Astyanax mexicanus: one gene and its partners. The protein of the gene in region 4 interacts with the protein of the main gene of each other region in a pairwise test. Links are inferred from orthologs where the notes say so. Each region holds a gene or a part of one and is shown on either strand. Other genes may lie near its edges.

The links.
Region 1: the proteins of sgta (region 4) and nme3 interact in binary tests that used the Homo sapiens proteins (3 or more experiments, as listed by UniProt). The two-hybrid records come from large-scale screens. The link is inferred for Astyanax mexicanus from reciprocal best matches to the Homo sapiens genes SGTA and NME3.
Region 2: the proteins of sgta (region 4) and tumor necrosis factor receptor superfamily member 13B interact in binary tests that used the Homo sapiens proteins (3 or more experiments, as listed by UniProt). The two-hybrid records come from large-scale screens. The link is inferred for Astyanax mexicanus from reciprocal best matches to the Homo sapiens genes SGTA and TNFRSF13B.
Region 3: the proteins of sgta (region 4) and serpine1 interact in binary tests that used the Homo sapiens proteins (3 or more experiments, as listed by UniProt). The two-hybrid records come from large-scale screens. The link is inferred for Astyanax mexicanus from reciprocal best matches to the Homo sapiens genes SGTA and SERPINE1.

Annotation. Positions count from the first base shown.
Region 1 is NC_064426.1:27,535,016-27,542,069, reverse strand, and holds the start of nme3 (nucleoside diphosphate kinase 3), read right to left. Parts: upstream 3,020-7,054; 5' UTR 2,979-3,019; coding exon 2,900-2,978; intron 1,720-2,899; coding exon 1,589-1,719; intron 1,437-1,588; coding exon 1,335-1,436; intron 1,165-1,334; coding exon 1,052-1,164; intron 646-1,051; coding exon 528-645; 3' UTR 1-527. Other genes in the region: mrps34 (28S ribosomal protein S34, mitochondrial), read right to left, coding at 6,922-7,054. UniProt on the Homo sapiens protein: Catalyzes the phosphorylation of ribonucleosides and deoxyribonucleoside diphosphates, other than ATP, into the corresponding triphosphates with ATP as the major phosphate donor.
Region 2 is NC_064422.1:7,890,377-7,897,892, forward strand, and holds the start of tumor necrosis factor receptor superfamily member 13B, read right to left. Parts: upstream 3,011-7,516; 5' UTR 2,994-3,010; coding exon 2,879-2,993; intron 1,160-2,878; coding exon 1,043-1,159; intron 1-1,042. UniProt on the Homo sapiens protein: Receptor for TNFSF13/APRIL and TNFSF13B/TALL1/BAFF/BLYS that binds both ligands with similar high affinity. Mediates calcineurin-dependent activation of NF-AT, as well as activation of NF-kappa-B and AP-1.
Region 3 is NC_064415.1:25,930,217-25,937,646, reverse strand, and holds the start of serpine1 (plasminogen activator inhibitor 1), read left to right. Parts: upstream 1-4,424; 5' UTR 4,425-4,530; intron 4,531-5,496; 5' UTR 5,497-5,497; coding exon 5,498-5,738; intron 5,739-5,842; coding exon 5,843-6,067; intron 6,068-6,380; coding exon 6,381-6,575; intron 6,576-6,938; coding exon 6,939-7,137; intron 7,138-7,247; coding exon 7,248-7,348; intron 7,349-7,430. UniProt on the Homo sapiens protein: Serine protease inhibitor. Inhibits TMPRSS7. Is a primary inhibitor of tissue-type plasminogen activator (PLAT) and urokinase-type plasminogen activator (PLAU).
Region 4 is NC_064423.1:18,691,541-18,698,625, forward strand, and holds the start of sgta (small glutamine-rich tetratricopeptide repeat-containing protein alpha), read right to left. Parts: upstream 3,027-7,085; 5' UTR 2,927-3,026; intron 2,879-2,926; exon of another isoform or gene 2,860-2,878; intron 621-2,859; 5' UTR 578-620; coding exon 478-577; intron 375-477; coding exon 271-374; intron 169-270; coding exon 78-168; intron 1-77. Other genes in the region: thop1 (thimet oligopeptidase), read left to right, coding at 4,396-4,408, 5,856-6,062, 6,759-6,907. UniProt on the Homo sapiens protein: Co-chaperone that binds misfolded and hydrophobic patches-containing client proteins in the cytosol. Mediates their targeting to the endoplasmic reticulum but also regulates their sorting to the proteasome when targeting fails.

The DNA of each region.
Region 1 (7,054 bases), on a different chromosome or scaffold from region 4:
TATCCACCAAAACCTTGCATTTCCATAATGTTAAGTTTTTTATTCTTTAATTGAATCAAATGATGAATGCTCATTTATGAGAAATGGACCAAGTGAAATGAGCCTAAATTACTTGAAATAATTTCTCCTGTAAAGCTGCCATTTAGGATATACAAGGTTTTTGCATGACAGCAACATATAAAGTAACAGCATACAAATATATCAACATACATATTGCTCGTTTATGTGCATTAATGAAAATATCAAAAATGTGTGCACGTGTGCACAGAAATGTAAACATGTTATCAAGTACATGGAGAGAGGACGTGTTAAGAGGACGGTGATCATTTTTTATATATCTCAGTGGTTACGTACCACAGTTCTCAGCATGAGTACTAAATCAGTGTTTATCTTATCTTTGAAAAGCCTAAAACTTCACATAGATCTTCTGGCATGCCACTTCAACAAAATAACTTTCTACTGCTGCACTAGAAGGTGTAAGGCCGCAAAGCTCTGTATGTGTTTGTGAATGATGAAAGTGAAGGGTATCACGCGTAGATCCAGTGATCAGTGCTCTCGTCCCAGCAGAACAGCTCGTAGTCTTTGAACCACAGGGAGATTTCTCTCTGAGCGCTCTCCACCGAATCACTGCCATGAATAACGTTCCTGCAACACCACAGATACATAGCAGTTATTTGTGCCATCAGTATTAGCATACCTTCAGCTGCAGGTCCACATGTCCTATATTAGTCCTGTTGTGACAATTTGTCTACACAGGTAAAAATCACCAGGCTGCTATTAAGATTCTATTACATCTATTAAATGCACTTTGTTCATTTAAACGACTATTTAGGCTCTTTACAAGGAAATGTGCAGTCAAACAGTGATCTTTAAAGTCAAAGTACCTAAGTTTGAGGAAATTTAAGATCTCCTTGGTGAGAATGTGTAAATGAGAATGTCAAAAAGTACTTTTAAAACATGCATTGTGATGCATTTTGCTTTCAGAATGAATTAATCTTAATTTTAATTGATGAATCAGTTATTTTAACATAATTAGGAGCATCTCACAAACCTTCCCACTTCTACACAGAAATCCCCTCTGATGGTTCCTGGAAGGGAGTCAGCAGGATTTGTCTCTCCAAGCATCCTTCTGGACATTCTTACCACATCAAGGCCTTGCCAAACCTTGCGAACAAACACACAGATAGACATACAGTATATATATATATATATATATATATATATATATATATATATATATATATATATATATATATATATATATATATCTTAGAATATGTAACAGTATAAGACAGGATGCAATTTGATAATCAGGTGAAGTATCTGTATCTTACCATAGCTACAATGGGTCCAGAGCTCATGTATTTGACTAGACCTTTGTAGAACGGCCTTTCCCTCAAGTCCCAGTAGTGCTCCATCAACTGTTCTTCAGAAGCCTGTTCAAAAATAAATAAATAAAAAATGTATGACATAGGAAATTATGTTTATGTCACTGATGCAGACTGCAATGTTAAGCAGCTGCAATGTCACAATACAGAAAGGGAAGCCACTCAAACCTTTTTTTAATTAGTTTCAAGCTTTCCTTTACCTGCAGGAGTTTCATGCCGACCAGTTTGAAGCCCTTTCTTTCAAAGCGGCGGATTATCTCTCCCACTAGCTTCCTCTGAACACCATCCGGCTTCACTGCGAGGAAGGTTCTCTCATTTACCCCCGTCCATCCTGCAAAGCATTTACATAAGCACACAGGAAATGACAGGCAGTTAGGAAAAATGTATTTTATATATATATATATATATATATATATATATATATATATTTTTTTTCCAGATCTGTAGTTAAAATATTAAACACAATTGACATATAGTCAATTGTGTTTAATATTTTAACTACAGATCTGGAAAAAAAATAAGAACGCTTAAAAATGATGAGTTTCTTTGATTTTACCAAATTGAAAAACTTTTGTACTATAGTCAAGAGGAAGATCACAAGCCATCAATCCAAGCTAAACTGCTTGAATTTCTGCACCAGGAGTGGCATAAAGTTATCCAAAAGCAGTGTGCAAGACTAGTGGAGGAGAACATACCAAGATGCATGAAAACAGTGATTAAAAACCAGGGTTATCCCACCAAATATTGATATCTAACTCTGCATCTGCTCTAAATGACAATATTTTTATTTGGAATTTGGGAGAAATGTTGTCAGTAGTTGATAGAATAAAACAATGTTAATTTTACTTAAACATATACCTTATAAATAGCAAAATCAGAGAAACTGACATGGTATCTTAATTTCTTCCAGAGCTGTATATTAAATGCATTGCTAAATACACGATTGTGTGTCATAATGATAAAATTAGTAAAAAAATAAACATTTACAGTAATGCCTTTTTATTGTATGGAAAAAAGTAAAAACTGCAAATAATTACAACATGGTTCAAGAGGATTTTGGATGATACAGTTTAGTTTAAATCTAGACATTTAGTTTAGTTTGCTTCTAGTTGTGGAAGTGAAAACTCAGAACAGTTAAAAATCAGCCATTCCACTGTCCAGAAATCCATTTATTAATAATAAAGATTGCACTAATCTGACTTTAAACATTCTCAAATTTAATTATGAATTTTTGAATCCTTATATTTTTCAGGTTTCCATAAATACAGGACTGCATGCTGTATACAGACACGTTTAAACGGACCTTAGGCAAAGCAGTCAACACTCTTAATAAGCTAATACCAAACTATAAACCTATTACACTGAGGCTCAGAGACCCGCTGAACAGATGGCTTCATAACAACAGCAAGACCCGCCCTGAACCGGGAATCTCAGCCAGTGAAACTCGGTACGGTTAGGTTATTCATTAACGTTAAACTACTCAGAAATTAAACGCCTCCTTTCTGCTGTACCTGATTCAGTGATTCGGGCGATTTTCGCACCTAAATCCAGAATATCTGCAGAGTCTGTAAGTGACCTTTTGGAGCCCATGCTGCGTGCAGCCGCCTCGCGCGTTCAGTCCGACACACAGACCAACCAATCAGGTGAGGGAACGCCGGGGGATGAACACTCGGCAACCAATCAGAAAAACGGCGCTAATAATAGGGTTTACACAGAAACAGGCAGAGGCGATTCACCTGCTAACGGCCACTGAACTCTAGTGATGAGGAGCTCGAATCAAGATAGATGAACCGATTCTTTCAAACTGAACTACAGCGATTACAATTCGATTCACACAAACAAACCGATTCCTTCAAACTGATTTTTTGTAAGATTTGGTAAGTTATACTAAAGTTCAACGAACCGATTCTTTAATAAAAACAAAACACAATGAGAGTAATATGAAATAAGTTTAAGGCATTAGTTTCCTTAACATTCCTTAAAAAATCAAAACATTCACAGTATTTCGAAGAAAAAAAACGTTTATAAATGTAGTTAATTTTCAATCAAGTCAATCATGTATCACTTTTCTATACAAGACACAAACATGCTAATATCATGGTATAATTTTAGCAGTTGTGACCTTAGAATCACATTAATGAACCGATTCTTTTAAGCTGAACTGCAGATATTAAAGAAAAAAAAAGATGCATGAAATTAATCTGATTCTTTCAAGTCAAGTTAAGTCAAATAGCTTTCATTGTCATTACATCTAAGTACAGGTACACAGTGCAAGGAAATTATGTTTCTCTGGAACATGGTGCAACATGGAACAACAAAGAGATGGGAGGTTTAAATAGGCACTAAACCCCCTGATTTTTGCTGAGTCCACCTTTTAAAAAAGGCTAAAAAATGGGAGGGGGATTTTAGGAACGGAACTGGGTGATGTATGGGTTTAGAAGCAGGGCAGGAGGGAGAGCTGATTGGCTGAGCTGCAGCAGTATCAGTGCTTCTCTGATAAGCAGATGGTTGGACGTCAGCAGGAGGCGGTATTATTGATGATCTGATCTGAATAGTGTGATGTGTCTGCGTACAAAAGTACATGAAAGCAATAAAACAATCTTTTTTTAAAGATTGAGAAATGTTTATGAAAAATTTAAGCAGGACTGGTATGTTTCACCTATTAATAGACAATAAGGGTTCATTGGCTTTTTTAACATTCACTTATCAAGTCAATCATTTTATACAAGTACTATGCTAGTATCATGGTATAATTTTAGTTGCAAACCCCAAGCTGTTGTGAGAAGACCTTAGAATCGCATTATTGAACCGATTCTTCGAAACTGAACTGCAGAGATAATAAAAAAACATTTGTGAAACCAAACCGATATCAAAAATGTGTGCACGTGTGCATAAATGTAAACATGTTATCAAGTACATGGAGAGAGGACAAGACGGTTACCAGGGCGGTGATAATTTATATATGCATCATAGTTCTCAGCTTGAGTACTAAATCTGTTTTGTCTTATCTTTGAAAAGCCCCAATTTTTACATAGAAGCCTATTTGAGCAGATCCATCCTCTGGCATGCCACTTAAAATAAAATAAAAAACAACATCCTACTGCTGCACTAGAAGGTGTAAGGCCGCAAAGCTCTGTGTTTGTGAGTGATGGAGGTGAAGAGCATCATGCATAGATTTTTTTTCAGGTAAAAACACGATAGATACTGTGTATCATAAGATTATATTTCAATTCTGCAATACAATATTTTCCCATATAGCCCAGCTCTATCAGTGATTATGTACACCTAGGGTGGTAGCTTTTATACTGTTCATATCGATATCACAATTATATTGTTATAATTCGTTCAACTTCATGTACCACGCGTGATGTAAAATGACAATAAAATCACCTTGAATCCTTGAACTACTTTACTGAACCTATTTCTTTGAAACTGAACTGCAGAGACAAAAAAGGAGAAAAAAAGATTCACTACACTGAACCGATTCCCTCAAACTGACATTTAGAGATGGAAGGTTTTGTTGAGTTTGCTGAACTGATTCTTTAACATAGGGACCAATAGTGGAATTTTCTTTTGTTTATGCTAGCTAACCTAACTAAAACTACCACAGTGTTCACAGAACTTTGACAAACATGTCGATAAATGTAACTAATGTCAACTTCTCACCTGAGACACTGGCGAGAGGTGATTTTAGTGTACTTGTTATGGGATCTTTGTAACTCAAGTCAGCTTTATTTGCCTAATTTTTCAACACGCTATTTAGCAGCCTAGGTTAGGTTAGCTAGTGCTCGGAATACATTAGCGACGGTCGTAGAAAAGAAGGCAGTAAGTTACACCGCATGCACACTTTAAACAGGACACGTTTATTATTATAACCCTGAGTTAAATACGCATAAAGACAAACTCCACAGCACCAGCTAGCACTCACATTTTCCACAGTAACTAATTACCCTGCCAGTTAGCCAGCTTAGCTAACTCAGACTCTTAAATTTACCCGTGTTAATTAAAGCAGTCTGAGGCTAAAGGCTGAGACACTACTGTGTGAATCCGGTGTTATGGGGCTCTTCAGAAATCACTCACCTGTTTTAAACATGTAGGCGAACAGGCTTAAGAAAAGGCAGATCATGGTTCTGCTGAGTCCAGCTCGCCGGCTGTCCCGCCTGTCCCACGAGTTTTTGGGGAGAAAGAAGAGGGCGCGCCTGAGCACGCGCACTAACGCCGCGAAAAGCGCGTGCGCAAACGAGCGCGTGAACGACCTCTACTCCTTTGCTCACTCACTGCCTTTGACTGCAGTGCATGAAGACCACAGACTGTATGTACAGTCAAACGTTTGGACACATCTCTTCTCATTCAATGTTTTCTTTCTTTTTATGACTTTCTACATTGGGAATTTTATATTAAAGTCTACTTTAGATTCTTCTAAGTACCACATTTAGCTTTGAGAACAGAGCTCTGCACACTCTTGGTATTTTAATTTCAGTGTCTTCATGAGGTAGGGTCACCTGGAATAATTTTCTCAGCTGGAGCTTGTTTTCATGTGTTTAATATTAATCAACAACATAGAAAAGAAAGAAAGAAAGAAAAACATGAATCAGAAGAGTTGTGTCCAAACTTTTGACTGATACTGTATGTATACAGTCTATGATCAAGACATGAACAGGCTCTTGTACTTGGAGTAGTTGGTTCAAGACAATACGGCATCTGTTCTTTAATTTCCTACCAGGACAGTTATAATCAGTACATTAAATTTGTTTATTGTCAATATATATATATTCATTTTAAGCCAACTTTAAAGCTCATGTGTGTATAAACATATGTATATACAGTGGTATGAAAAAGTTTTCATTTTCATGATTTTCCTTTATAAATTATTGGTTGTTCGAGTCAATTTCCATTAAATATAGCGCCTGCCTAATTTTCTTAAAAAAAAAACATTTATACACTCTCTGTAAATCCTATAAACTTTACTTAACCTCTCAAATATCCCTGTGTTTGTCTGTTATATGATATATGTAACTGAAATTGCTGATCCAAACAACGATGATTTATAAAGGAAACTCTTTAAAATTATCAGGGATGCGCAAACTTTTTCATACCACTGTATATATATTCACGCCATCTAGAAGACAGACTCATTGTTTTATCTTTTCTTTCTTTTTACTTTTATTCAGTTTAGACAGATTCCTGGTCATATATGTATATGTGTATGTATATCCGGTGTACCTTTTGTTTGTTTTGTCATTGTTGAAACACTAATGCTTTAATATGTAGATAAATAAATAAAAAAATCTAAAAAAAAAAAAAAAGAAAAGAAAAAAAAAAAAGGAATTTAGTTGTAGCAGTTCAGACATAGGTTTAGTGGGTATGTTGTTTTTATTCATAAATATTGCAATAAGCAACACATCATAGTAGCACATACAGTACAGAATATTTTACACAGGTCATCAAATCCTTCTTTAAAAAAAAGGGGGGAGAAGGGATGTTCAAACAGCCAATGTCCTTTAGTTTCTAATTTTACAAACTTGGTGTGGTACTAGACTGGAGTTCCCTCCAGTTTCCGTTTCTCCTCCTGGCTGCGGAAGTACTCTTTGCTGAGCAGCACATCTCGCTTCAGAGGCAGGCTGGGCTCAGGCAGGCTGCTGGCATCTATGCCCAGCTGCTTAGCT
Region 2 (7,516 bases), on a different chromosome or scaffold from region 4:
TGTTTATATTGGTCCCATTTACAATGATCCCCCTCACTATTGCACTATTATCTTGTGTCTCTTGTCTTAAGTATGTATATATCTGTGGCCTTGTTGTATTGTACATTTAGTGTATTGTGTTCTTTTATATTTATATTTTATCTTGCTGTACTTGTTGTAACTTTTGGGAAGAAGAGTAACATGATTTCAATCCTCTGTATGTCCTGTACATATCGTCACTGTCCAATAAAAAACAAGTATCTGCATTTTTGTCCATTTTTAGTTTAGTTTAGTTTGGCAGTGGTAAATAATCAGTATTTAGCATTCAGTAGCAAATATTCATCAGTCTGTAGTCAATAATCACTATTTAATATTCAGTAGTCTGTATTTATTAGTCAGTAGTCAATAATCAGTATTTAGGATTTAGTTGTAAGTATTTATTAGGCAGTGGTCAGTAATCAGTATTTAATATTCAGTAGTCAGTGTTCATTAGCCTGTAGTCAGCAAATAATCGTCAATAGTCAGTAATTAGTATTCAGTATTCGTTAGGCAGTAGTCAATAATCAGTATTTAGTATTTAGTTGTAAGTATTCATTAGGCAGTGGTCAATAATCAGTATTTAATATTCAGTATTCAGTGTTCATTAGTCTGTAGTTAGCATATAATCATCAACAGTGAGTAATTAGTATTCAGTATTCATTAGGCAGTAGTCAATAATCAGTATTTAGTATTTAGTGGTAAGTATTCATTAGGCAGTGGTCAATAATCAGTATTTAATATTCAGCAGTCAGTGTTCATTAGCCTGTAGTCAGCATATAATCGTCAGTAGTCAGTAATTAGTATTCAGTATTTATTAGTCAGTAATCAGTATTTAGCATTCAGTAGTCAGTATTCATTTAAAAGTGGTCAATAATCAGTATTTAGTATTGCCAGTATTTATTGGTCAGTAAATACAGGCCAGTATTTTGTATTCAATATTCATTTTTTCTGACTTTAAAACTACTTGACTTGACTTGATGAGGGCCCATAGAGTGAATTTGGGACACGGCCGCTGTGTACTTACTCGGACACTCTTGTGAGCACTCTGAGGGGTGGTGGCCACACAGCTCCGAACATTTCAAGCATTTCTTCAGCAGCTGGTCGTAGAACTGCCCAGATACAGCCTTACAGCTGAAGGCCACTGTAAACAGACAGTCAGAAGAGCTGTAATGAGACTGATCACAAAATCAGATCTTCATCAGTTTAATTACAAATGATCTACATCACCAGTTTAATCCAAGTACTGAATAGAAGGGAACAACATTGTTCTACCTCTGCCTCTAAGTTTGACTCTCTGTTGTCCCAACCCCAGCTGAAATAGAGATTCTGATTGGATCTGCCTCTTAGTTTGACTCTTTGTTTTGTCCCACTCCTAGTGGAAATAAAGATACTGATTGGTTCTGCCTCTGGGTTTGACTCTTTGTTGTCCCGCCCTTAGCGAAAATAGAGATTCTGATTGGTTCTGCCTCTGGGTTTGACTCTTTGTTGTCCCGCCCTTAGCGAAAATAGAGATTCTGATTGGTTCTGCCTCTGTGTTTGACTCTTTATTGTCTCACCCCTAGCAGAAATAGAGACTCTGATTGGTTCTGCCTCTGGGTTTGACTCTTTGTTGTCCCGCCCTTAGCGAAAATAGAGATTCTGATTGGTTCTGCCTCTGGGTTTGACTCTCTGTTGTCCCACTGCCAGCTGAAAATAGAGATTCTAATTGCTTCTGCCTCTGGGTTTGACTCTCTGTTGTCCCACTGCCAGCTGAAAATAGAGATTCTAATTGGTTCTGCTTTTGAGTTGAGATCTTTTTTGTACCACCCTCAGCTAACATAAAGATTCTGATTGGTCCTGCCACTGAGTTTGACTCTCTATTGTCTCACCCACAACTAAAATAGAGATTCTGATTGTTTCTGCCTCTGAGTTTGACTCTTTATTGTCTAATCCCCAACTGAAATAGAGATTTTGATTGGGTCTGCCTTTAAGTTTGGCTCTCTTTTCTTCCACCCCCAGCTGAAATAGAGATTCTGATTGGTTATGTCTCTGAGTTTGGCTCTTGTTGTCCCACCTCCAACTGAAATAGAGATTCTAAATTGGTTCTGCCTCTGAGTTTGGCTCTCTTTTGTCTCACCCCAAACTGAAATAAAGATTCTGATTGGTTCTGCCTTTGAGTTTGACTCTCTATTGTCTCACCCCCAACTGAAATAGAGATTCTGATTGGTTATGTCTCTGAGTTTGGCTCTTGTTGTCCCACCTCCAACTGAAATAGAGATTCTAAATTGGTTCTGCCTCTGAGTTTGGCTCTCTATTGTCTCACCCCCAACTGAAATACAGATTTTGATTGGTTCTGCCTTTAAGTTTGACTCTCTGTTGTCTCACCCCCAACTGAAATAGAGATTCTGATTGGTTCTGCCTTTAAGTTTGGCACTCTTTTGTCTCACCCCAAACTGAAATAAAGATTCTGATTGGTTCTGCCTTTAAGTTTGGCTCTCTTTTGTCTCACCCCAAACTGAAATAAAGATTCTGATTGGTTCTGCCTTTGAGTTTGACTCTCTATTGTCTCACCCCCAACTGAAATAGAGATTCTGATTGGTTATGTCTCTGAGTTTGGCTCTTGTTGTCCCACCTCCAACTGAAATAGAGATTCTAAATTGGTTCTGCCTCTGAGTTTGGCTCTCTATTGTCTCACCCCCAACTGAAATACAGATTTTGATTGGTTCTGCCTTTAAGTTTGACTCTCTGTTGTCTCACCCCCAACTGAAATAGAGATTCTGATTGGTTATGTCTCTGAGTTTGGCTCTTGTTGTCTCACCCCCAGCTGAAATAAAGATTCTGATTGGTTCTGCCTCTGAGTTGTTAGCAGTGTGTTACTCACCACAGAAGTCTAGGCAGCGAGTGGGGGGGTCAGGGTTATCACACACCAGCTGACAGGGCATGCACTGTTTTAGCAGGCGGTCCAAGTACTGTCCTCCAGCACAGGTTCCTGCCATCGCTCCTCACCATACTCACACCTGCACACATACCTTTAATCTTTACTAAACACACTACTGACACACTTACACAACGCTTAACCACTTCAGAACACACTGAAAACTGAATCGGAGTCTGTTGTCCATAGTCAGTAAATAGTAGTTATTCAGTATTGATTAATTGATCAATTAATTGATTACTGACTAAAACTGCTGATAATCAATTCTCTACAACAAAATACTGATGAATGATGCCCTAGTTGTTATTCAGCCAGTAAGCAGTATTCTGCAGCCAGTAAAATATTGGCAAGTAATCAGTGTTAGAGTGTTAGTATTGAAATCAGTGGTCAGTAGTTAATACTAGCCAATTCTCAGTATTTTATAAGTCAGTTGTCACTTTTTACAAGTCAATATTCATGAGTCATCAGTCAGCATTCATTAAGCTATTATTACATTAATTAGTATACCATAAGAATTAGTCAGTAGGCAATAATCAGTTTTCAGTAGTCAAAATGTATTAGTCAGTTGTCAGTTTTCAAAATCAATATTCAATAGTTATCCTTAAGTATTTATTGCACTATGATTACGTTAATCAGTAGACAGTTTTCATTAATTAGTCAGTAGTTTATAATCAGTATTTAGTATTCAGCCATCAGTATGTATTAGTCTGTATTCTGTAGTCAGTATTCAGTAGTCAATAACCAGTTTTTATTTTGTATATTATTATATTTAAGTAAATATTCATTAGTCAGTACTGTATAATCAGTATATAGTATGCTGTTGTCAGTATTTATTGGTCTGTAGTCAGTATTAATCAGTATGTAGTCAATAATCAGTATTTAGTATTCAGTAGTCAGTATTCATTAGTCTGTAGTCTGTATATAATCCTCAGTAGTCAATAATCAGTATTTATTATTCATTATTCATTAGTTTGCTGTCAATAATCAGTATTCACTAGTCAGTAGTTAGTATACATCCGGCTGTAGTCAATAATCAGTATTTGGTATTGTCAATATTCATTAGTCTGTAGTCAGTAATATATTAGCCAGGAGTCAGAAATAGTGCTTAGTATTCAGTATCCATTTGCCAGTGGTAAATAATCAGTATTTAGCATTCAGTAGTAAATATTCATCAGCCTGTAGTCAATAATCAGTATTTAGTATTTAGTTGTAAGTATTCATTAGGCAGTGGTCGATTATCAGTATTTAGTATTCAGTAGTCAGTGTTCATTAGCCTGTAGTCAGCATATAATCATCAACAGTCAGTAATTAGTATTCAGTATTCATTAGGCAGTAGTCAGTAATCAGTATTTAGCATTCAGTAGTCAGTATTCATTAGAAAGCAGTCACTAATCAGTATTTAGTATTGCCAGTATTTATTAGTCTGTAGTCAGTATATATTAGCCAGTATTTTGTATTCAATATTCATTCGGCAGTGGTCAATAATCGGTATTTAGTAGTGGTCAATAATAAGTATTTATTATTTAGTAGTAAGTATTCATTAGTCTGTAGTCAGTATATATTAGCCAGTATTTTGTATTTAGTAGTAAGTATTCATTAGTCTGTTGTCAATAACCAGTATTCAGTAGTCAGTATTCATTAGAAAGTGGTCAATAATCAGTATTTAGTATTGCCAGTATTCATTAGTCTGTAGTAAGTATATATTAGCCAGTATTTTGTATTCAATATTCATTCTGCAGTGTTTAATAATCGGTATTTAGTAGTGGGCAATAATAAGCATTTAGTATTCAGTAGTAAGTATTCATTAGTCTGTTGTCAATAACCAGTATTCAGTAGTCAGTATTCATTAGTCTGTAGTCAGTATACAATTGTCAGTAGTCAGTAATCAGTATTTAGTTTTCAGTATTTATTAGACAGTAGTCAACTATTTAGTATTTAGTACTGAGTATTCAGTAGTTATAGTCTAACAGCAGTTCATAAAAAATATACAGAAACACGTTGTAATGATGTTTGAGTGATATTTGCCTGGAAGGTCATTCTGCACAATTGGTAACAGCAATGTTATTAGTAATAAAAATAATAATAATAAAGAAGAATTTTAAAAAGACAAGGCCTTGAGAGTAACACCACCTGTGTATCCACCTGTAGAGGATAGTGAATGCACAGGAGAGTGCACGTCTGTCGGCCTGGGAGAGCGTACAGGTAAACACCTACCTTAAGTAGCCATAGAAGTGAGAGGAGTGAGCGGAGTGAGCAGAGTGAGTGTGCTGCAGAGCTTCGGGTGTGTTTTCAGAACCCTGTTCATTTGCCTAAAGCCGCAGTCTGGGGTCTCCTGGGACACTCCTTGTGAGTTTACACTCTCATGACTTGTGAGATGTAACAAAGCTCCAGTTTGACTAAACACTTTTCAGTGCTGTTCACTACCTGTCCAAAAGTATCCGGACGCCCAGATCCTCCAGCATTCATCTGTTCCTCCTGAAATGAAGTGATATTTCCACTTTGCTGCAGTAACAGCCTCTAATTGACTGGGAAATATTTACACTAAGAACATTGCTGTAAGCAGGAATTGATTGCATTTGACCCAGAGAGTATGCATGAGTAAGCTCAGGTACTGATTCCACTTCAATACATCCCAAAAACAATACCCTACAAAAGTATTAAAACAGCGAGACCAATCTCCTATTTCTAATGTAGACATTAAACGATGGAAATGAGACAAATATCAATATTTCAGCTTTTAGTTCCAGGTATTTACATCTGAATCTGATGCACAGTTCAGAAGATAGCACCTTCTGTCTAAACCCTGCTATTTTCCTTATGAGCAAAAGTATTGGAACTTGTGAGTAAGTCAGATGTGTTAGGTGTGTTTTGTTGACCAGGTGTGTCCTGATACATTGATTATTCAAACAATAAATAGTGCTGAATGTCTACATTCAGTTTCAGATTTGGGTTTTATCTGTGCAGACTGAGCATCTGGGTAAAAATCAAGCAACTGTGAAGCTGAGGGAAGATGGAAAATCATTCAGAGCCAATTTGTAAATATTCGGCATAGCCAGTACAACAGTTTGGAATGTCCTGAAGAAGAAAGTCGTCACTGGTGTACTAAGTAACAGATGTTGAGAAGACCAAGAAATAACACAGCAGTTGATGACAGAAACACTGGGCCTCATTTATAAAAGCATTTTGGAGTAAAAGTACTGTAGGTATCTAATATCACCTCTCCATAGAATTCAGTAAATCGTAACTGATCCTGATTCAGCAATTTTACAAAATGAAATGGAAACCTAAAACAACTCTCTTAACACCTCTAATACACTACCTTTTCTAACCTCATTTCCTTCTTCCCCTCCTTCACTTCTCTATCCCCTTATTTCCCTTCGACCTCCTTTAAGCCCTATCTAAAGATGTTTTACCTTTAACTTCTATTACTTTTGTACTTCACTATTGTAAGTCACTTTGGACAAAAGCGTCTGCCAAATGTAATGTAATGTAATGTAACAACTTTTAGTCAAATCAGCAACAACCCCCAGAGAGCAGGACTGCAGATCAATATACTGTTCACAGAAGACTTTATGAACAAAAGTACAGATGCTTTTTTTGTCTCATAATTTTTTAATGTCAAACCCAAATATTTTAAACCTACAGCAGAAAAAAAAGCTATTTTCCATAAGGTTAGTGACATCAGTGGGTCACAGGCTTGATGCAGTTATTGCAAGTAAGGGATTTGCAACTAAATATGAAGTTTGTTTTTTTTTCACTTTAATTTACTTTAGGTTTGTCTGTTCCAATACTTATGGGTGGATTCAGACAGAAGGTGCTTAATCTTCTGAACTGTGTATCAGATCAAGATCCAGTAAATACCTGAAAATAAAAGCTGAAATGTTGCTCTTTTGTCTCATATTCGTATTTGAAACCGAGGTGCTCTAAACTCCCTATTACTCGCCCCCAATTTGACTTACTAAAGTTCCTGCCTCATTACTTCACATGGTGGCGCTAATCAAAGGAATAGTAAACCTGTGGTAAAAAAGAAATATGTGTTATGAAATACTGTGAAACTGACACCAATAAATCTATAATTCCTATTATTTGTTTAGGAGTGTTTTATTCTCTTCTGTAACACAGTTGCTGTGAAGTATCATAAAGTATTGTGATAATTACGGTACACAGAGTATCGTAGAATCACAATATCATGATATTATAGTTACACAGATGCACTTTGATCCTGACCCTTGATAAATACACTGCCATAAGTCATAAGTTATGGAGTAACACTTTACCCTAAGGATTCATTAATTAACAGTATGTATACCAAGTTCAGAATATAAGTTAAGACACCATTAACCTTTAACTTTTGTTATCTGTTGTCTTAATTAATTATTATTTACAGCATTCTAATTAATTAAAGTTTAGCAATGTTTAATGTCATAACTAGTGTCAATTAATAATTAGATAAGATATAACTTTTTTAGTTTAGTACTTAAGTACAGTGGTGAAGTAAAAATAATACTCTGATATATACAGATACAGCATTTTAGTATGATTTGGTATGATGTCAGGTGGGGGCTCAAGAGTACATACATGAAT
Region 3 (7,430 bases), on a different chromosome or scaffold from region 4:
AGACCATTATTAAGTATTAAACCGGGCATGTTAACGCAGGAAAAGCACTAAAATGTGCAAGCCAGTGACCCTCAAGAACCAGGGTTAATAAACACTGTTTTACTTACTGTCTCCATAATGAACCATGTTTGTATTAGAGATAATAGAGATACTTTATAAGTAAAAAACAACAAATGCTGGTTCTTTAAAGCATTAAGGTTCTTAATACTTTATACTTATTCCTATCTTTAATACAATTATTGGGCCTCATTCACGAACATCTGCCAAAGAATGTTCTTAGTTTGTTCTTGGGAAACGTCACTGCAAAATTGTTCAGAGCTTTACTCTTGATAAATCAATGAATTGGGTTTTAGAAGAAATTTCATCTTCAATTCCTAAAAATCCTGTATTCATAGTACACTATAAACATATTAGGATCATACGTTTTTTAAACATGTGGACCCAAGACAAACTGCAAGCTGTAGGTCTTAAATTCTGTGAAGTCACTGTAGGCTCCCTGCCCACACCAGGCCATGTATCACATAGTTATATGAAGTGGTAAAGCTGGAGACAAACAAGCAACAGAGCAGTGTTGCATAAAGGCTCTTCGCTGAACCCAAACTGCGGTTTAGTTTAATAGATTTTCCAAAGCAGCCTTGGTCGGTTGCCATGGATAAGATGAGTCCTCCTCCAGCTAAAGGGAGTTCCCATGTGCATCTGAAATGTGAATCAGGTGGGCGTACCACTGGGGTCTGAATCTGTGGTTCCATATTTTTCCATTCACTCCATATGGAATGTAGCAAACTCAGTGGAGGAGGTGGGCAGTGATGACTGCAGATGCTAAAATTAGCCTAATGGCTTCATGAATGGAGACCGAATGAGATAAACTCATATGCACATGCCTTATACATGTTGCAAATGACAAATAGACCAGAAAATAATTACTTTCTGTGACATTGTTGTGGGATTCTAGTAATATAAAAACTGAGACAAACAATTAGACGCTAATGAAACACCAACATGTAATAGACCATGACCTCATACCTTCGTAATTATATTGGCTCTGTTTTGTCACTTGAGTGTCTAGTCTCTCCTAAGTGTTCTGTCATCATGCTGGCAGACTTTTTATAAACAGAGATTCCAATAAAAGTGGGACACGTTTACTGAAGTTACTAAACCTCTTTAATCTAAGAGTAAAATTAGTGCTGTTCCAACACTACAGTGTGTCACCATGCCCTCCATACAGTACACATACAGTTTTACTCTTACAAAAAGTTTTTTAAAAAAAGAGCTCATTAAAGTAAATCTCCTGAAGATCCGTATTTGATACCCTAATAAATCTTCCAGCACGTGGTTACAATTCGATAAAAGGGAGAAGAGCTGAATAAATATATTCATAAGCTATATATAATAAAAAAAAACTACCTATATTGCTTGTGTCAGCACCCTGGTTGCTGCGTATAATATGGCAATTGGACCATATTGCTTGTGTCAACACTGTGATTGTCAATTATAATATGTTAATTGGACTGTATAGCTTGATTGCTGATTATAATACAGCAATCGGTCTGCACCACTTGTGCCAATACCCGGCTGCTGAGTATAATACAGCAATCTATCAGAGGAGCTTGTCTCAAACAACGGTTCCTGTGTATAATACAACTGTTGGCTCAAGAAGCTTGTGCCAAAACCCCGGTTGTTGTGCATAATACGATGAGTGCCTCTTTTTACAACTCGCTGGATGCTGTGTATAAACTGCAGCCCTTGACTTGACTACCTGGTTTATCTTTTGGGCAAATCTGGTACCTGATACCTGAAAGTTAGTGCTTTTACTCCTGCATGCTTGTGGTTTCAAGCGAGCTGAGTAGGGACTAAACTGTGATATATTAAAAAAATATGTGTGCTGATTTGGCCAGAGAGAACATTCACTCTAAACTGCGCAATGCAGATATCTAGCAGCACAAAATTTCCAAGCAACATTAGCAATCACATTTGTTTTTATCTGTCTCGCAATGGCAGTTTGTAAAATTATGCTGTTATCTTTAGAAAAGGATAAAAATATATATTTGGATTGGTGGCTGACATAATTATACATTGAGAGTTGCGAAAAACATTGCAGGGGGAGGTGTGTTAAAGGAAAATTAACCAGAAACCAGGTACCAAAAAGCAAAAAAGTAGATAACCACCACATGATAGTCCAGTAGATAACCACCACATGATGTAACTTCAATGTATACTGTTCTACAGTGCATAGCAAAATCTAACTAGTATATATGGCACAGGAAAAAAAAAAACATGTTGGTTTTCTAATAACTCAAAAGTGTATGAATCTTAAAAAGCTGTGTGAACATTTAAGACATTCAATTTAAGGAGATTTAAGATTTAAAGAAACCATCACATCACGTAAATGTTCTAAAATATTTTAAAGTTGATTTATAAAACTGTTAGGACTGTTAAAGGAAGCTTTTTGGTAATGTTTATGGTACAATCCTTAAAATATTGATGAAAAATCAATTCCAAATTAGTATCTTTCATTAAACAATGAAAAATAATAGCTTAAAAAGTCTTTATTTTAATGTAATGTTTCCTTTATACATTTTATCTTCTTTCTGCATCTTCAGGTACAGACATATCGAGTCATATGAGGCATGTTGATATCATCGTATCATAGCCGGCTGGTGTAAATGTGAAACACAGCCGCTCTCCCTCTTTTATATTCCTCCTTTTACTCTCGTCTCTCTGTCGCCAGACGCTCAGTCATCTGTAGAACTTGGGGCATGCAGCTCAGTCCGTGAGCATGCCCCATGGAATGCTGGATCTGTAGTTCCAAATATGGCAGTGTGATGTGTCATTTTCACCAGAGGGGCCCACTGGTGAATTTTGGCTTTGACTGATGTTCTTGATTAGGCCACATAAGAAGAAAGGATTTTGGTTGTGTTTCCTTTCAGGTCCTCTTCTCATTAGGGGTTCCGGGTTCATGCCTCTAATGAGCAAGCCAAGGATGAGACATTGGAAAACTCAACCAGAGCCAAAAAAAGAAGAGTCAAAGGGAGAAGCCATCCTCCTATTGTCAGAAACAGATAACACAAGAGGAGCAGGTGGAGTTAAGATAAGTATTATTCTATAAATGTCACAGACAGATTAATATGGAAATAACCAGTTGGTCAATTGCTAATTTTAGAAGCATATTAGAGGTTATTTAAAAAAATAGAGTTTAAATGAATGATATTTGTAAGATCTGTGCCCTCTTTAATGTGTTTAAGAGCATCAGTTGTAAAGTTGTGAAGAGGCAAACAGTTGGTATACAGTGAATGATGCTATTTAAGTAATGTTCCAATCCATATTATGGCAGGAACTACTCAACTAAGAAAACAAAAAATCCTTTAAAAAATATTCCAAGAACTCCAAAAGTACCCTCAAGTGCAGTCGCAAAGACTATCAAAAACATTATGATGAAACTGGCCCTCATCAGGACAGCCCCAGGAAGGTAAGACCAAGAGTTACCTCTGTTTTACAGGATAAGTTAACATCATGCCAGAAAAGAGCACCTAAATGGTTCACAGAGTATTTTGGTTCGTTTAACACTTTTAAGTTACTAAATGATTCCTCATGTGTTCCTTCATAGTCTGAATGACTTCAGTATTCATTTACAATGTTGGAAAAAGAAGGTGTGTCCAAACCTTTAACTGGTACTGTATAAACAAATGTAAAGTGTAATAAAAAATAAAATAATAAAAATATATTAGTAGTAATAAAAAATAAAAATTAAAGAATGTGTAAAAATAAACATATTTAAAATAATTGTACAATTTCTATATGAATTTGGCAATGGTCAGTGCCTTTTTAAACAAGTTATGTATGATATAGTTTGATGTGGTTTAAGTAGTCAACTCAGAAAGTATGAGTGGTGTATGCATCACTACATAAACAAAAAATATCCAAACCAACAGCACCCTATGGACAGAGTAGACCTAGATCATTAATATCCCCCACTTTGTTTAGACAGAGCATTTCATTGTTATTATAAAACTCTGCATTTTTATTAAAACCAGACCCATCTATTTTCACTAGTCTCGCACTGGGGCACTGAGGCTATATTAGTGTGTAGTGTAACACAGTGCGTGGGTGAGTGAGTGGGTTTGTAATTTAATTAGCAAACACTCTCAGAGCGTTCACTGAGTCTAAACTGCTGCCAAATCCTGTCAAAGTCAGCAGCGGAGCTCCCTGGGGGGAACAGCATGACTCGGTTTAGTTGAGTCTGTTGAAGAAGAGAGAAAATCGTGTTTGAGTGTGAGTGTGTGTGTGTGTGTGTGTGTGTGTGTGTGTGTCTGTGTGAAACAGAGCGCAGGAGTAGGGGTGGCTCAGGCTGGAAAAGCAGACAGAGATGACTTCATAACTTCCGTTCCGCATTTAGGGGGAGGGGTTCTGGGTCCTGAGTTCTTTAAAAAGAGAAGAGAGGCAATTGCTCGTTCAGTCCATGCTGGATAGGCACAAGGAGAAGGCACATCTACAAGCTTAGATCCACTGAGACTACTACTTCCAGACTTTCAGGTATGGGTTATGGTTTGCTTGCACTTTTTGGACAAAAGTTGTTTTTTTTAGGCTTGATTTTCATTGTGTAGAAAATGTTATATGGGGATAATTGTGTTGTCAAACTTGTAGAGTAAAATCTTTTCTTGTATTTTTTATTTTTGAACTTTGTCTTGTAGTTTTATATTCAAGTCACCTTAAAATTAAAAATCCAAATTTAGGCTACAGATCAAGGACTTATGTTTTAGAGCTAGGGGTACTGTATTGGCTTTGTCAAGAGATTACCTCCACTAAAATTTCTTCAAAAAGTATTGTGACAATAGTTGACGCAGTTGTTGTTGACTCCATGTAGACTTTCCATATAAAAAGCCACTTGAGTTTAAGGCTATTTAACTTGCCATGTTAAAATATGCCAGTGTATTGCAACTGATTTTATAATATAGATATATAATAATGTACAAAATCTTGGTTTTACAAAGCTTGGTAATTGTCGGAATAGGTCACGTAGCTAGGTGTGTTCATTTTAGCGGATTCGTGAATAGACCTGCAGAGAGATGGAAAGGTGACTCAAGGTAAGCATTTAGGAACAGCAGCACTGAATTTACATTGTGGGTGTTTAAGTACATAGAGAAGAATACGTGCCTTTCAGACACACTTATGAGCTCCTTCAGGTCTGTCTGAGTGTGATGGCTACTGGCGTCAACCACTTTTGGTTGTGAGGGAGTTTAATAGCTTAAAACGGTGATTGTAGCAGATGCCAAGGACAGGATTAAAGGACAGGAAGCGCCACATTAGATATGGGTGAATTATGCTGTTGATTCCAGTACAGCTTAAGGCACTAAATATAGTGTAGTAGTACCACATGTTCATTCATTCATTCATTTACTCATTGTGGTTCATTTATTCATGAATTAACTGATTAATTCAGCATGTTACTCAAACAGTATGTCTAGATTTCATATTCTTATCCATTCTCTCCTTATGCAGAATGCAGACACTCTGTGTACTGATGACCCTTGCCTTTTATGGGTCAGCGATGGGCACCTTCCTGCAGAAGCAGCAGACGGATTTTGGACTGCGGCTGTTCTCAGAAGCTGCTCACTCCCATCAAGATGAAAACTTTGCCATGTCACCCTACGGCATCTCCTCCGTGATGGGAATGGTCCAGCTGGGAGCTTATGGCAGCACTCTAAAGACACTCAAAGAGCACATGGGCTATTCTCTGCAAGGTAAGAATGGAGGGAAAATTGTTTTTATGCACCAAATAAATGGATTTTCCCTGATTCCAATCCAAGAATTATATAGAAACCTATAATTTCTGTACTTTCTCCAGATCGTGGAATGCCACGACAACAGAGGCTTCTTCACAGAGACCTGTCCAGTGAACACGGAGTGGAGGTGGCTAGTGGCGTCATGGTGGACAGAAAGCTGATGTTGGAGAAGCCCTTCCGACGCAGCCTTACAAAAGCATTTCAGAGTGTCCCTCACCAGGTGGACTTTAGCAAGCCAAAGACTGCCCAGCAGGTCATCAACGCCTGGACGTCAGACAGAACCGGAGGTGTGTGTGTGCTTTTTTTTTCCTTTTGTGTGAGACTGTGTATGTGTTTGTGCAATTATAAATGATAATGAATTTAGATAATTTTTTTATAATGTGTTTTTTGATGTTATTTGTCAATTGTAATTAAATTGAAACCAGCCTTTCATTTTTCAGAGTGTGATGATTAACTCTACCTTATTAGAATCTTTTGTTTGTCTTGTTTTTATGATTAAATGGTTCCGTTTGAAAGATTATGTCAGAGTACACTGTGTACATGTGGAGATCTCACGTGCTACTGAACAAGTCCTGAACTCTGCCCTCTCTCTTCTCTCAGGCATGATTCCAAACTTCCTGCCGTCCGGACTTCTGAGTCAGCAGACTCGCTTGGTGCTGTTAAACGCGCTTCACTTTCACGGCCTCTGGATGACACCCTTCGACCCCAGCCTGACCATGGAGATGATGTTCCATGGTCCTAATGGTAGCACACTGCCAGTGCCAATGATGAGAACCACCAATAAATTTAACTACGGTGAGAATGTAATGGAATTAGTGTAATGTAATGTTTTGGGTGTGACCAATTAAATTGGCTTATTTTAAGGTTTCATGAATTTACTTGCAGAATTCCTGTTGATCCTTATAATGCTGTTTATTTTTTTTCATAATGAAACTTAAATTCTAATTTAGTCAGAAAATCTTTGTTTATCAAAACAATTGCAGTGTAATTTTTTTGGCCAAAAACATTATTTAAGCTAATATTTTATATCAGTCCAGCCTTAGTAATGATTATTGGATGAATGAATGAATGAATGATTAAGAAATACATTGATATATAAGCTCTAATATTTATACAGCTATTGCCATTGTTTTAAATATTGCCTGTCTCATCCTCCAGGTGAGTTTGTGACGAAGGAAGGTGTTGATTACGATGTTATTGAGGTACCCTATGAAGGAGACTCAATGAGCATGCTCCTGGTGTCTTCATTCGAAAAGGACATGCCGCTGTCTGCCCTCATCAAAGAGCTGAGTGGCAGCAAGGTCCAGGAGTGGAGAAAGAACATAAAGAAGGTCAACCGCCAGCTGGTGCTGCCCAGGTAAAGAGAATAAAACCTTTATTTTACTGACATTTACTATTTTTTGGATTCTGATTGTTAATTCTGATTATTTAGAGTCTAATACAAGTTTGCGTCAATGTTATGTCCAGGTTTTCCATTGACACAGAAGTCGATTTGAAGTCAACACTGAGCAAACTGGGGCTTGGAGACATCTTCAGCCAGTCCAAGGCAGATTTCTCACGCATTACTAGTAAGTATATGCAAGTACACATATTTTATGTCTATAAAGACCTCTGGAGTTGTTGAGAGTGAATGGAATAAAGTATTGTTTT
Region 4 (7,085 bases):
AATAACCAATTTAGAAGGGACTAATTTAATCCAGTATTTTTTGTGAATATCAAAACAAACACACATTATATACATACCATCACTCTTAAGTCTTTCTGCCTCTGCTATCTGATCCTCTGTTAGGGGATTACTGGTAGAGTTGACTTTAACTTCAGGTGTGTTTTTTACCTGTCATAGATACACACAGTCTTTATTTACAATTCTCAAATCATAAATAATACCAATACTCTGTATCTGAACAGCAATATTAAAGAGAATATAGACTGCTACCTTTGGAGTGGCTTTTGCAAATAATTCTGGCAAAGTTTCAGTAACTTCTAAACTCTGGTCCTCCACTGAGACACTGAATGCTGTCTCCAGACACTGGATGGCAACTGGAAAGCAGTTTTAGTGATCAATCATATCAGTGTTTTAATTCAAAACCATAAACAAATATAAGCTTAGTAACCATTCATTCAGAACTGCATCAGTATTTACCTTCTAAACTTTCTTGAGCATCTGACGACAATTCCCCAGACCTGAGCTGGTCATGGAGAAACTGGATAATGGAGAAAGCGAGACGTTTTGTGTCTGTCATTTTGGCTGGAGAAAAAGCTCTCTCCAATTACTTCTGAGGAAATCTGAAATATAAGAACATGTGGGCATATGTTTAGCAGAATAACATCATCTCAAAAAGTAAAGTTCAGTAAAATTGAAAGCTTTGACTGTGAACTGCCTAAAGTGACCATACTCAAATTTATAATTACTAAACATGATCTAAGGCACATTCGGAGATCCTCCAGTGGGTTTTGTTCTATTGACAATGCTCTTCTCTGGAAGTGATAAAATCTGTTAACACCCAAGCCAGCAACTGGTGCATCATATCAGCACAAAAATAATATTTATTCCAAAAGAATAAATACAGTGCAAGTTTGGAGTGTGCATAATATATTGTTTAAATTCTTTCATGTTCAGGTCATGTTTCTATTTTGCTGCCTGACATAAAACACCTGCCCAACATAAATGATTTTATTGTCCAATATTTTATAAAGTGTGTTGCATTATTAGTAGGGTATTGGGTAATCTGTATTATTTTTCAATACATTTAGCTTACCTTCATTTTTGTTTATTTTTTTCCACCACTGTAAATTTGTGTGTTGTTTTTGGTGGTATTTTTGTCTTTATGTTTGTTATCTGCGTTAAGTCACAATTTTACACGTCGTGAAAAACGGCTCTAAATTAGCATCACGACAGGTGGGATCACCAATTTCCATACAGTGCAAGATACATCAGAGCTGGAATTTAGTAAGACCTGAAAATAAATTAAATCAAACTGGTCTTGTTTCTTTTTTTGATGAAAAAAAAAAACCCAGCCTAATATGATTTTTACTGCCCAATTTTTTGGACACATTTTCACTACATTTCGTTTTAATTTTTTAAGATGTCTTTATTTATTTTTTTTATTTTTTTTACCACCAGTGGAAATTCCTGTGTTTTAAATTATTAAAACAAGCAAACAATATAAGATTAATTAAGAAGAAATAATTTCAGAATAAAAGGATAAAATGTAAAGGCAATAAAAAATATAAGAATAATAAAAGACAAACACATTTAAAGAAATAGAGGAGTAAAATAACACCCAAATTATAAGGTAAATGACAGAACTAAAATAAATAATAAGTTTATAAAAAAAAGTATAAAAAATAAAAGGACAAAATAAACTAAATAAAATGGTAAAAGGTCACAAGTAAAACCAGTAATAAAACAAACAAAAGGATTAAATGAATCAAATAAATAAAAAGGCTAAAAAAATGATAAATAAAGACAAAATTAAATAAATTAAAAGGCAAAAAAAAAACTCAACTAAAAGCAGTTACAGGCTGACTGAAGGTGGCTAGAGACTACTAGTTTAAAATTATTTAGTGACTCAGTTTAGAATTTCAGGTAGTACATTCCAGCTCTCGGGTGCTGCACTGTAGCTAAAAGCAGATTTCCCAGTTCAGTAAAAACTCTAGGAACCGGACAGGTAATAATGCCTTTGGTGAGAGAAATTTGGCAAATTGTCATGGGTAAATAAGGTCTGCAGTAAGATTCACATCATAAGTTTAGGTTTTCAATAATTTAGGAACTGGTTGACCCCTTAACATAAATCATTACATAATTCTGGTGATTTATACTATATTTTTTCCAATCTCCTAATAATGACACATTTCAGTTAACATTACTTTAATTACAATGACTAATTACACTGAGGTCACTGTACTGCTAGGAGTACCATCCATGCAAGCACGAGATCATCAAGATGATTGCTTGTGTCTTAACTAACGTTAGCTAACCTCGCACATATACATAGTTACCTAACTATCTAACTAAGTAACAGTATCTGTCCAAGTAGGTTAACACACTTGCCTAACGCAGCCGAATCGTTCAGTTCTTTAATACAGCAGATTGTTCTGCTGCTGTCTCTAGTGAAATGACTTCATATGAACATATGACCCGGAATCTTCTAGCAACAGCTGGCTAGGTTAGCTAGTCTGATGATGTGTCCTCAACAGCTAACTAGCTATCAATTTAACCCCCTCAGCTGCTCACAGCGCTAAAATCATTACACTCTAACAGTGTAAACAGGAATACATGTGTTTATTATATCAGCAACTACCGGCTACACGCTGTCTAACCGTGCGTAACGCAGCTAGCTAAGCTAACTAAGCTAACCCGCAAGGGCTACCTCGATATCCAGCTCACTAACATTGTTTGCTAGCTAGCATTAGCATTAGCTCGTTTCGTTCAGAGTAAAGGCAGCTCAACTCTCAATAACAGCAAACAGCTTTTAAAATCTGCCCCGCTCATAAACCAGGTAAAGAGGTAAAGACGGCCTACATTGTGTCACTCAGCTACACTCCCGAGAATCACACCCAGACCTTTTCTCAAATCTTTTTATACTTACTGACTGTCCCACTGCAGGGATTTTCCTCGCTGCGCTCTCAGTCTGGCGTACGCTGCGTAATACGTAAACTCACCCCTCCGTGCGTAAAACCAGCGTAAAACGTACTGACGTAGCTATAATGTCGCTAAACATATGATAAAAATAAAATACTATCATCATTAAAACAATAGACGTGAACACGTATTCATGTCTATGATTAAAACATCCTCCCCAGTATGGGCTGCATTAAAATGGGAATTCATTTTATGAACAAATGTATTGGGAACATAACTAATTACTAAGGTAAAGAAATAATATATGCACTCATAAATATATATAATCTACACTAACCCCTTGTTTCATTATACCTATTTTATCTGTACCGTTTACTTTCTTTATAATCGTATTGTTATTTTTAATTACTTACATATTTTAGTCTTCTTTTTATTTTTGCTCATTCTTTTTATTTCTCTCTTTTTTTCCTCTTTACATTTTAGCCTGTCAACTTATCTTTTTGTTCTGAATAATTTAGATTATTCTTACTTAAATCATTATTGTTTGTTTTTATAATGCCTTTGCCATTTAATGTTTATTGTTTTTATAATTAAAATGTTAGAAGTTCACTAAAAAATTATGGTTGCCATCAATGTATTCTTGAGTGAAAATAAAGGTTAAAGGTTGTATAAATTATTTACAGCTAATTTTAATATAATCAGAACTATTCATGCCTCATTCAAATAAATAATTTCCCACTAATTGTAAGTAATCATAAATTAGTAATTTATTATTTATTTATTGTATAATATTGTCACAAAAACTTCATAATTAGTTAGATAATTTATTTATGCATTTAGAAGATAATATCTTTAATGTCCATGACACTGTAAAACAACCATAGCTAAATTGATCAAATAATTAATTAATTAATTAATTAATTAATTAATTATTAGTTATATGAGACATTTTTACTAAAATAGACAATTCTTAGTTAATTTAAGATATGTGTTTTGTGAAATAAGTGTTAGTTAGTGTGTTATATCAATATTCTTTACTAAACTCAGTTATTTTTTACAGATTATTTTATTCTGCAAGAAACTAATTCTAAACAAACGAGCATTAGCTAATTTATTAATTTATGAAGCAATATTTCAAAGAAAGTTTAAATGCTGTATTAAACATGATTCTGTTTTTGTGTTAATTCTTATAAATACATGCAAAATAGTCTGTAAATATTTCACATAATTCCAATTCAAACTCTCTTTTCCCACATTAAATGTATGTATTTCGTTTAAAAGTCATTCTTATCATTCTTAAATTTTTTTGTGTACTATCACTGAGCAGAAGAGGATTGGGCGGGGTTTTGTTGATTGACAACTCTCAGACCCAATCAATGAGTGCGAAATGGGCGGGAGGATACCACCTCACAGGGAAGAGCTATCACGGGCGGGCGGTGGAGCAGCGAGCATTGATTCAGAGAAACGCGTGGAAAAATGGCACCTACAGGTAATCTAGGTTATATTAGAAAAGTCAGGTAGATGTTTGACTATCACTTTTTAGTTACTTTCCTCTCTTTAGTTCAGTACTTTCTGCTAATAGTTAACTGAATGATGAACAGGGGTCTGAATGCAGCTCTACGATTCAGTAGGTTAGAGCAGCGCTGGGTATATGGGGTGTAAAGTACTGAGCTGGATTAACAGTGAACATAAACTGTAATGTTTAATTTAGAAACACCGCCATTACTCTGTTTTTACGAGCACGGTGGCGGCTACTCACTGCTGTAGTGTTCACACATACAGCCGTTTGCCGGTTATGAAAACAATAGCTAGCTAGCTGCGCAGGTTCTTGTGTTGTAATGCCGTTATGTTAGCTTGCCGGCTAGCTACAGTTAGCCTTCTGTGTATATGCACTTGTACTGAGCCGGACAGCTAGCTGTGTAGCTAACCGTAGTTAGCCTGCTGGTTTGATAGGTTAGCTAAGCGCCGTCACTTTAGCTTCCATTAATACCAGGAACACGTGTAGGTTAATATTATTTCCCCTATGGTTCAGTGACATGCAGGTTTGCGCTGGTGTTTATTGTGTTTTTTAAGCTGTATGTAAACTACCTTTTTTAGGGTTAGCTTTATATCGAACTGATTACAAATTCAGGGCGTCATTCTAAACGGAGCATTAACGTTACTAGACAAGCTGACAGACATATGTTAGCTAAGCTAGCTGAACAAACTCAGCTCTCAGCAATGCTTGAGAATTTTCCATATAACCATAAGATAAGATAAACAGCTAAGTTATACAGATAAAATATTCTGGCTTTGTTAGACATTTTAGTAACTTACTTTGCTTTTTAGCCCTTGCTGTTCTGCAAACAATCTGGACAATATATTAACATTTTCTCACATATCAACGATATCATTGGTACTCAAAGAACTCCGCATCAACTGTACAATGGTTTATCGTTTAGCCCAAAACTAAGAAATATACAGTGATATATTTTTTGCCATATCGTCCAGCCCTATTCTGTGACAAAACGACGAAAAAAAAATATATACATATATATTAATTGATAAATTAAACGATTCTGTCATTTTAACTACAGAGATCCAAAAAGATTACAACAAGTAAAGTTGGGCAAATATGTTGTACAAGTATGTTGTACTAATAGATATGTCTTGGAAGTAATAATACATGATAGGGCTGGGTGATGTACCAAAAATTGTATCAAAATATATTTATTCTTTTAGGTTGCTATACTAATAAATAAACTATAGTTATTGTGTAATGTATGAGGGATCTGCAGTTTAGTATGTTTTTTGTGGGTGTGGGGTTCTTTCTTTTCTTTTGGTTTGGTACAATACGATATGGGTATTATATCCCAAAACATACATTTGAAACCTAATGCCTTAAAAGCTCATCTCTTCTGATATTTGAAACACATGAGAGAAACTTTCTGCTTCAGGTGAAGTAGTGTTTGGCGGTGGAGATGGAGTTTGTGCTGACAATCGTTTGCGCTGGGACCTCACTCCAGAGCAGATCCATCAGCTTACGGATGAGCTTATTGCAAAGACCAAGCAAGTCTATGACTCTGTAGGATCCTTGGATCTAGATGCTGTAACCTATGAGAACACTCTGAAAGCCCTTGCTGATGTGGAGGTGGACTACACAGGTAATACTTCATGGTTTGTGATTGTGGTTGGAGCTTCTAATGCATTTAATACTTACTGTAATACTTACTGGTATTTAAAATACCAGAATAGACACATGAATGCAAATGTATTTCTACTTAATCTGGTTAGATCTATATACTGAGGATGAGTCCTCAACTTTTCTGACATCTTCACAAGATTTAAGCACAGATTGTTTCACACAACGAGCCCTAATTTATAACAAAGTGACCAGGTTTCAGTTATCACTATTGTGAAACAAAAAATAAAAAGGCTGAGTCAGCAGGGAAGCCGTATGCAATGGTACACACCGTTCAGCACTTTTTTACATAAAGACTGGCTGACTGACACATGCACAACAATAGTGTTTGCCATTGTTTAGTGTGCAGAGTGGAAGCACTGCAAGGCACCTATCTTGTGTAGGTTTTCTGTTGACAAAAAAAATAAATCAAATAAAATGTTATGGCAAAGTGTTATTACCTTTTTATTCAGTCCTTTTTCCCCTAATACAGAAGTATTGTCATGATGTGTTTTGAATTATGTGTTTTCATTAATGCTTCAGTTAGTGCCACATTAGTCTTTACAATATAATAATGCCCTATAAAAAGTAATATGAGGTATTAAACTGATTTCTTAGCATTAGTCTGAAGCCATTATTTATAACCTGTAACATCGCATCATCTCTGGCTCTTTTCCAGTCCAGCGGAACATGCTGGATTTCCCTCAGCATGTGTCGTCTTCTAAGGACGTGCGCACGGCCAGCACCGATGCAGATAAGAAGCTGTCGGAGTTTGATGTGGAGATGAGCATGAGGGAGGATGTGTACCAAAGGATTGTAGCGCTTCAGGTTAGGTTCCTAAATGTCTGGGGTGTTTTTTTTTTTTTATTAGGTTAAGGATGGAATCAATAAGGAAGACAGTAGGGCTGTGCGATATTAACAAAAAAATTCTTACAGTGCATTACTGGCTGATAAAGGCACGCACAGAACACCTCTCAGCCAATCAGATTGCAGGCTCAGAATTAAC